Mus musculus: one gene and its partner. The protein of the gene in region 2 purifies or fractionates together with the protein of the main gene of each other region. This does not show direct contact. Links are inferred from orthologs where the notes say so. Each region holds a gene or a part of one and is shown on either strand. Other genes may lie near its edges.

Region 1 (4,967 bases), on a different chromosome or scaffold from region 2:
GTGTCTAGAGTCATTGCTCGTATGTGTCTGCCATGCGTCTCAGCAGCCTGGCTTCAGTTTGGGAACTCACATCAGAGCTACTTTTTGCTGTTACCTTCTGGTTATATTCTGTGTCCCACTGAACAGATCTCTCCTGCTGGCTTGGGTTTCCGTGTCCGTCACCTTCATGTTACCAGGCCATCTGTAAGCTCCGTGCTTGGAGGATGTCACTGTCACAGTACAGAAGCATGGATAGCTTTGGACAAAAAAAAACAAAAAAACAAAAAAAAACAAAACCCTGTGGAAATTCAGGAATCAGTAAATTTAAAGATTGCGTCACACAGATATGTCAGCGTGTTACTTAAAAAAAAAAAAAGTAATAACTTATGTAAGCCAAATGCTGAAAGAAAAATGAACTCCCCAAAGGCAAATCCTTCACTTTGTCCACATTCTATCTCTGTGTTGAACTAATCACAAAGTCGCAGTCGCAGCATGGCCTCCTTTTCTTCTTGAGTGTGTTTCTGTGTAGCTGTGTCCTCAGAAGCCAGCTCCTACCCAAAGAGACAGCCTCTTCCATCCTTCTCTCAAGGCAGCCCTTTTCCCAGCCCCCTGCTCCTTTTTATAGAGGAAGCACACAGTGCTCGGCTGTCTATGCTATTTATAATCATTTTCTTGAGTGAATAAAAAAAAAAATCACAGAATGATTCAGCAGCCTCATGTGTTTTTTTGGGGTTTTTTTTTTGTTTTTTTTTTTGTTTTTTTTTTTTTGTTTGTTTGTTTTTTGTCAAGGCAAAAACCATTTTGAATCACAAATACTATGTAATGTATACCAAGTACGGTATAACATTTAACCTAACAAATCAAACCTGTTCCAAGGACAACTCCTGTAAAAGTTGGTAAGAAGGATCCTGAACTAGGTTTGAACATTTGTAAATGGACAATTTTATGTTTTCATAAATTTTGAGACTAAAGTTTAGTTTTTAGTCATATGAAAGTGATAGCAAGCCAATAATGTACAGAAGGTCTGAATGAAATAATTGACACGTCAATATGAATGCTTGGTCATGCATGTTATCTGGATTTAATACCTGCTCAGGGAGCCCTTTCCAGGTGATGCCTCATCTGTATGTAACTAATCATAATTCTATGTACAGATGTATAGAATTACTAACTGCATACAATGCCAACATTAATCACTCTGCTGCTGGAGGACAGACACCTTTGTACTTGGCCTGTAAAAATGGAAATAAGGAATGTATCAAACTCCTGCTGGAAGCTGGCACTGACCGGAGCATAAAAACCAGAGTAAGTACCCTTTTGGGAGAGTGTTCCCCGACATATGTTATTTATATTGTGTCTGAAAACTAGGCATATATATATACTATAGCTCGCATATATCTACTATACATGCATACATATGACAGGTACAGATTCTTTTCTTTGTTATTGTTCCCTGTAGAAAGCAGTATATGGCTACATTGCTTTCGCACTGTAGACAACATTATAAGTAGGATGGAGACTTAAGTGTGTGGAAGGATGCGTGTAGGCACTATGTAAATGCTACGGTGTTTTGTATGAGGGATGTGACCATCTCTAGAAATTCACAGGCCATGGTAAAGAAGGCACGGTGGAGCTTTGAAACTAGCCTCCCACAAATGCTGAAGGACAACTGTGCATGGATACCCACTCTTCCGTTGTGCTTTCGCTTTAGGATCCTGCTTTAAGTGACCTCTGAGTCTCTCCCTTGCTAATTAACATTCTGGTCCGTTTTCCCTCGCAAGTCATTCAAATTCTGAGACTAAACATAAAAAGAGGGGAATTTTGGTGCTCTTAGTATTTCAGAATTAGAGAAGACAATGAACGTGTAAGTTTTTATTATTGAACAAATACTATTCTTTGATGCCATTATGTAATTTCTCAGACAAGAACCAATCATTAGGTATTAATATTAGCAAAGGTAACAAGGCCAGCTATGAGTATTTTCCATTGTAAATTATTGTTAGAGCTTAAAAACAAAACAAATCTCCAGTATTATTTTTACTCGATGTCAAGTTTTTAATAAATTTTAGTTTTTTAAATTAAAGTTCTTATTGTACATGTATGAGTGTTTTGCTTATAGGCATGTCTAAGCCACTTGCATGCCTAGTTCCCAAAGAGGATCTGGCCATCTCCCCAGATCCTCCTTTTAAAAAGAAAATCTGAAAAGGGTAGTTTAGTTTCACATTTCTTTATTTTATATATTTTATCCAAGAAATGGATGTTTGGATGTATTCACTACAAAATGCTATCTTATTGCTAGAAGATAAATGAATTTTGCATCATTAACCTGAGTAAGAAGTTCAACATGGAAGGTTAAACAGCATCCTGCTGAGAACGCAGATCAGCGCCCGGAAGCTAGCTTTGTTGGGCTGAGCAGATTGTTTACACAATACGACAACACACTGTATAATTGATAAGTAACCTGGGGTGGGTGTGTAATTATGTCTTATGCCTTTTAATGCTTAGGTAGTAAGAGAAAGTGGAATGTTGAAAGGTTTTTGTCTGGTCTTGTTTTTTTTTCCTAGAAACACTGTTAGGAATTTGTAAATTAGGAAGCTAATGGGCACTTCTTCTCTGTGGCCTAAGTAGGGGTCATCCCCCTGCAGAAGAAAGCAGGGATCTGCTGTTCCTGACTGCAAGGCAGATCATGCCCGGTTCTAGTTAACTAACTGCCTGTGTGGTTTTTATCTTGGTCAACTGAATTTTACTGGCATGAAATCCAGAAGGAGAGAAAAAGTCCTCAAGGGTCAGCTTAGGAAAAGCTCACAGTACTTAGTACACATTGAGATGGTGCCTTACTTACTGGCTAATAGTCTTAGTCTTTACATCATCACTATAAAAACAAAACAAAACAAAACAAAACAAAACAAAACAAAACAAAAACCAGTGCAGTGGTGCTGAATGCCTCTAATTCCAGCACTTGGGAGGCAAAAAACAATATCAAGTTCTTGGATAGATGCATAGTAAGACCTTTTCTCAAAGCACATATTAAAAAACAAAAAGTTTTATAGCTTACTGAAATATATTTAGTATAACAATATGGAATTCTATATGAAAATGATCTTAAAACAACAATATAAAGGCAAAAACAAAAACAAAAACCAAAAACCAAAGCCCCAACACAAATCAATTATTTGATAAAATCTTTAAAGACAAACAAGAGTTTCTATGTTGTAGGCAGACCCACCTGTGTGTCAGAATGAGAGTCTGAGAGGGGACTGGGGATTTTTTTCCCCCTAGAACCATGCTTGTCAAATTTAAATTCATTCCTTTCCCTTGCTGGGCATGATTGCTAGGCAGGTGGGGCCTCCCCACCAGAGGTCAGGTTCCCTTTATCTGGAGATAGGCTTGGGGAACTGCAGTCTCAGAGGGTATTGAGGTTGCTCCACTGCCGTGAGCTTATGATGACTCAAGAAACCAGCCAAGTGGACAAGGGGGTGGGGCAGAGCAATTCATTCTAGAAAATGGCCTCAGTGATCTTAATTGAACCATTTTCCAACACTGATTGGAATCCCGCCACACTCAGAAGTTCCTGAGCACAGGCCCATAGATAGCTAATGAACGTATTTGGGCTTTGCTTTTTCCACGTTGCTACCTTTTCCTTTTTACCTAGAATCTTTCCTTCTGGAATCCTTGGCATTAAAATATTCAGATCATTTCAGTTAGTAACACTGGTTTGCTGCAGTGTTTTTCAGTGCATTACTAATTAATTAATACCATTATCATTGCATATAAAATCTCATTAGGATAAAGTTCACTCCATTTTTTAATACTAAATTGAAATTCTGGTTGGCCAGGCATTAATACTGAGGAGACTAAGCAGGACCTACTCGCTCCAGAAGGTAACTGTTAGGTGAAAATGATTATTTATCAACAAACATGAATCACAGTTGTGGGAATTAATGTCACCAAGAAAAGTGAGAGAACTTAAGTTCATCAGGAATATTCAGGAGTGGACTGCCTCCATTTCCTGATGAGGTGGTTTGTGACCAAGAGAATTTAGAGGTGGACTCAAAATAACACAGTTCTCACCATTAATGTTTTTCTCAACCTTTCCCGCCTGGTCAATGTATTTTCAGGATGGCTGGACGCCAATTCACGCAGCTGTGGACACTGGTAATGTGGACAGCCTCAAGCTCCTGATGTACCATAGAGTGCGAGCCCATGGAAACTCTTTGAGTTCAGAAGAGCCCAAGTCAGGCTTGTTCAGCTTGAATGGAGGAGAGAGCCCTACGGGTCCATCTAAGCCTGTGGTTCCTGCAGACCTAATTAACCACGCTGACAAAGAAGGCTGGACTGCTGCCCACATTGCTGCCTCCAAAGGTTTCAAGGTACGTCTGGGAGCAGCCGGCCCCTTTGCCCAGTTGTAAATTTGATGAGTGGCAGAGTCATTTGTATTTGATCTGGTGTGTTTAGACTGAGTAAATCGAAATGGAGTAATACCTTTGCAGAAGGCCAGGAGCTGCTGCTACAAACTGACTCTCATTTCTCTCTAAAAGATAATTACAGTCAGGGACATGAGAAAACTTTCATTATTTAAAATCTTTTATTTATTTTATTTTTTTAATCTTATATTTATTTATAAGGCATACAACAGTAAAATCAAATATTTTTATCTCCTCTGCCTTAGGATGGAAAGGTGAATATTAGTGTAATTAGTTCATACTAGTTGCCTAGAGGGAGGATCACGACACTCCTGATAGCTAAGACTTTAGCTAAGCATGCTACTGTCTGCAGAGAAAATGTGTTCTTAGCTCTTAGACCAGCGGTACATACTCAAGCTACAAGTGGAGAATAAGGAGACAAACTCGATCACAAGATGATGGACAGGCATCATATCAACAGCTCAGTCTGTGATGTGGAAAACTGGAGGTTATGTGTTTTAAAGAACGGGACTTTAGGGAGATTCCACTTTGCAGATGGTTCATTCTCACCGAGGTAGAAATTAT
Region 2 (4,967 bases):
GTTCAAGTGATGATAGAACCTTTTTGGTTGGTGTGTTTTTGTTGTGAGACAGGATCTCACTTGAATGTCTGGCTGGCCTGGAACTCTCTATGTAGATGAGCCAGGCTGCTCTTGAACTCACAGAGATCCTCCTGCCTGTGCATCACCATGCCCAGCTATTAGAACTTTACTAAGGAGCAAAGCTAGAGACGTGATGTCATCAGTGTCTCTAGTGTGTATCGGGGTGGAAAAGGGACTTCTGACTTGTCATTACCTGTGGCTGTGGCTCGTGGTTTAGCTCAGGTAACTCATTTTACAACACTGTAGCTGGAGACTGGGTAATTGACTGCAGCCAGACTAAAGTTGAATTATTTTTTTTTCTGCCTTTGTTTGGAAAAAAAAAATACTTTGACTAATTTGAATCATTTTCAATTTTTCCTTTTTAGCATCCAGTTCTTCCTGCCAAATAAACAGAGTCATCAGCCATCCTACCCTCCCAATCAGCATCACTGCTCATGAAGACAGGCACATCAAGTTCTACGATAACAATACAGGTAAGAGCTTTCTGAGACTGGATCGTGCTGAAGCCACACCCACTGCAACAAGAACCCAAAGCAGCCATGAGCACCTACTAAAAGCAAGCTAGTTGTGGGTCTTGATGGCCGCTCCACGGTCACGGAGTAGTCATGGAAGCACGCTGCAGGCCGCTTCTGTTCACTTAATGTCTTCTCAGATGGTTCCATACAGTATGGGATGGTTTTTAGTTTGTTTAATAGTAAGCATATTCTAAAGCCACGCACCTAGGCGCTGGTAGAAATGGTCTGTAACAGTCCATGAGTAGTGAGCATTAACAGAAACTTGTGGAGGCAGAGGCCGGTGATGGGTTTTACTTTAAGTTGTTCAGTTATCAAACAGCTGTGCTCTGTTGCTCAATATTAAATAGCTGGATGTAGCGTTGTATGTGAAAATCCTCTAGTCATTTGTTCTGTGTGGTTTTTTTCATGGTCTGATCTTTTGTGTGTTATAGTAAAATGTGAGTTCTAACTGAGCAGGGCACGGGGCTTTCCCAGTTCTGAGTGGACTGCATTTCAGCAGTCTATGGTAAAGTACACAAAGAGCTGAAGTGGGAAGAACTGGGGGGGGGGGGAGGCCATGTTTCTCTGGCTGTCTGCCTTTTTAATATAGTCACTCGTTGTGTTTAGTGGCTAGCAATTTAATCTTCATAATTCTTTTCTGTGTTATTTTGCCAAAAGTCTGGCCATGTTTTCTTTCTCTTCTTTTGTCCCTTTGAATTTGAGCTTTCTGTCCTCAGACACTCATGTAGTTTGTAACTAAAGGGTGCTCAAGAAGACTAGTAATGTCTAACTCATAGTTAGTGAACATGAAAAGCTCACTGAGTTTGTTGTGGCTTAAAAGACCGTCTCATATGAAATTTAACTGGCTTTTATTTTTTGTTATTAACATGACCAAAAGCAAGACAGGGAGATGTGCTGTTTGAACTGTGGAAAAGGTTCATCCATGAAGTACATAGCCAGGGATGACTTGGGAAACCAGGGCAGGGTGGAAGTCGGCATGTGGTTAAGCTGAGGAAAGCCATCAATTGAGTAACAATTTCTTTTTCCAAAGGCAAACTGATCCACTCGATGGTGGCCCACCTGGAAGCTGTGACAAGCCTGGCAGTTGACCCGAATGGCCTCTACTTGATGTCTGGCAGTAAGTACACTAGCTGTGGTGATATGTTTGTCCTTACCGTCTTCATGGGGAGGTAACCGTTCCTTTCACCTTCCTTTCTTTTGCAATAGGTCATGACTGTTCAATACGCTTATGGAATTTAGAAAGTAAGACATGTATCCAGGAGTTCACAGCTCATCGGAAGAAATTTGAAGAATCGATCCACGATGTAGCGTTCCACCCTTCCAAATGCTATATAGCCAGCGCTGGAGCCGACGCCCTGGCTAAGGTCTTTGTATGATGTGGCACAGCAGCTTCACCTTGTAGCTCTTTATAAAAGTCAACTGCACAACAGCGATACGGAAGACCAGGGCAAGAATCAGCTCGCCCTGCCCTTTTGTTCTGCTGAGGGAGCACAGAGAACTCTGTTAAAAGTATAGTTTTGCAATTCGTATACTGTTTTCTAAAATTAAGGTTTGTTCAGGTTGCTGCAAGCTCAGCCAAACCTGTGAGCCTGAAACTTTGAGATTTCCCTCCAAAGAGGCACTTTTGTTTCTGAAGTTGTTGTCATTCGCTAGGCTGGCCTGAGCGGGACAGGTTTAGCTTCTTCTCCCTTTCAAGTAAACAGGGCATGCTGTCATGGGTAATTAGAGTTGAGCGCCGGGAACGAGTAGAGTGGAAACCTCACTGTACTTCCTGCCACCCGGAGACATCTACTAGACACGAGGTAGTCAGTTGTACAGCTCTTTCTGCTCCACTAACCCCAGTGTGCAGAACGACCAGTCAGTGTTCAAGTGAGTTCCTACCACAGCTGTCCTTTCAGCCGCTCTCATAAAGCACATGGCAAAACATTTCACCTGCTAGGAGGAAACGATGCAATAATGTTAAGTGTATTACTATTCAGAAATGCTAAACAAATACTTAATTTGCAAGCAGATTTCTATATTGTACTACAGTTTTGAAAGTAGATGTGGAAGCATTCTAAAGTGAACTGTGAAGCACTCACAGTCAGGAGTGGGTACTAGAGCCTGCTTTACTAAAGGTTTGAACTCACCCAGGTTTGAGATCCTGTTTATTTTTAAGGGCAAACAGGGCATATTTCTATAATTTGTCTAAAAATTCACCTTGTTAATGTGGCATTTATAGTGCTAGCGTCATCATTTCATATTGATAAACTTACTTCCTAGTGATTCTGAAAAAGGGGAAAACTATTTATTAGCATCCATTTCCCAACACCCACATAACTAGTTCAAGTAAGCCTTGCTGTTTCTTCCCTGCCTTTCACGGTCATGTTGTCTGATGCTTACCATGAACAGTTTATAACTGGTCTGTCATGTAGTCCAAAGCATGTGGTCACTGCAGGCAGCTGCTTTTGCAGCCACGCCTAGTAGAGTAGTGCACCCCAGAAAGTCCTCTACTAGTGTCTCGGGAAAGAACTCTGTAGAGATCTAGATGGAGATGTTAGTGCCTGTGATGTCTACAAAGTTCTTTCTTCTCCCCACTCCCCATTGTTTAATTGGAATGCATGTTTTAATGAACAGTTGATCAATACTCTATCTAGAGAAAACCATGTCTTAAAATGCCAGCTCTCGCATTTATCTGTGAGCCGAATGTGGTCAGCTTTTGGGAGTCTCAGAATCCTACTGACACACCTAGGGCAGTCTTCACACCCTCTCTGCTTTTGTCCTAAATGACAGAGACCACTATAAATACTAAATTCAAATTAATCTCCACCTTTTTACCAAAATGTGTTCATCATAGGCTCTCTGTCTTAAAAATATTATACCCATAGATATTATGACCCATTAAACTAATTCCATTGCCATAGCCGTGGCTTTTCTGGTGATCTGTTCTTTGAAGTAGTATTCTTACGGTGATGTGGCTAATAATTGACTTCTTAAAAATTTCTGCTCATCTATCTTTAGAATTCTCCAGTGCAGGCAAACTTTTCTTACATTATAAGATTCGTGTTGAACGTCCCTGATTACTCTATAGACATGCTGTAGCACAACTACAGTTTATCTTTGTGCTTTGGTTAACAAGCAGGCTTTAGAGATTCACTGGTATATGCAAGTGAATTGAGTTACACATAACTACCAAGGAAAGCTCACATTTTCATGTATAGAGTTTTATGCTGTGACAGGTAAACTCTTCCATACTTTGTAAAGTGAACAAAAGGATTTATTAACATTTGTAGAATATTAGAAGATTCCAGTCGTAAGTGGCATATTTATGATGGCTGAGCACAGTTACTGCTTCAGTGTACGTCTTACTCTTGTCATCAACACTCCAGATCCCAGGAGAGTCTGCCCTGTTCATTCTGTGCCTCGTAATTGAAGTTTTCTTGTTAATGGGTGGGACACAATCCTAAGATAGGCAAAGTGTAGTACAAATGACAGAACTGTTGAAAGTTGTTTAGGAAGTATGTTTTGTGCCATTGAAGACTGCACGGAGAAAGAGAGCCTTCTAAACTAGCCCTGTTTGCTGTCAACCTAGAAATGAGCCAACTGTCTTCCAACTGGATGGTAGCATGTACGTGTGTTTGACTTTCCCCATCCTATTGAAAAATCACAAGATGAACAGTTTCAAGATTCAAAACCCTTGAAATACTTTCATGGTTATTTACCAGATTGTAAATGTTTTGAGTGAGCTGTTTTGGAATAATATGAAAATCAGCAGGTAGGTTAGGTCCCTGCCTTATTTTCAGTGCTGTGGATGTGTCTCCGGGAGCTTACAGTACTTCTCAAAATGCAGCTGTCACTTGGAGCTCATTTGCTACTCAAACCATAGACAAATAGGTGATGGGATGACCTTCAGTATTTTTCTATTGAACAAAGTTACCAATTTTTGCCATTAAACAGATAATTAGTTATGCAAAGTATTTAGCTTTTGTAATCATTTAGTTGTAACTAAAAGGGGGAAATTGAGCTGTATCACTGATAATGAACTTTGTGAGAAATTATTTGTTTATCTGACTTCCATTCCTTCAGTATTCTTGCTATAAATTTCTTTTGGAGATAATGATTCTTTATTTGAAAGATGTCTAAAATGTATGTATATTTTATAAATATATATTATATATATTATAGGGATATATATAATATATAGACGATATATATCTATCTAAACCATGGGTGCATTTTACTGTTTGTGTCTTCACTTTGGGAGGTAGTATACTCATAAGTTGATGAGTCTGACGAGTGTTGTGCTGTTTGCTTTTACAGTATAATATATAGTTCCAAGTGTTTAAATACTGTATATACTATATTCATTATAGGCTAGCATGCTTGTTTTAAAGACTGTCATTCTAGTTTATT

Evidence for each region. The genes of interacting proteins can lie anywhere in the genome.
Region 1: the proteins of Strn (region 2) and Cttnbp2 purify together in Homo sapiens (affinity purification with mass spectrometry; 3 studies listed by BioGRID and IntAct, with this or other methods). This does not show direct contact. The link is inferred for Mus musculus from reciprocal best matches to the Homo sapiens genes STRN and CTTNBP2.

What each region holds. Positions count from the first base shown.
Region 1 is NC_000072.6:18,420,148-18,425,114, reverse strand, and holds part of Cttnbp2 (cortactin-binding protein 2), read left to right. Parts: intron 1-1,133; coding exon 1,134-1,284; intron 1,285-4,097; coding exon 4,098-4,349; intron 4,350-4,967. UniProt on the Homo sapiens protein: Regulates the dendritic spine distribution of CTTN/cortactin in hippocampal neurons, and thus controls dendritic spinogenesis and dendritic spine maintenance.
Region 2 is NC_000083.6:78,652,474-78,657,440, reverse strand, and holds part of Strn (striatin), read left to right. Parts: intron 1-425; coding exon 426-533; intron 534-1,605; coding exon 1,606-1,692; intron 1,693-1,781; coding exon 1,782-1,951; 3' UTR 1,952-4,967. UniProt on the Homo sapiens protein: Calmodulin-binding scaffolding protein which is the center of the striatin-interacting phosphatase and kinase (STRIPAK) complexes.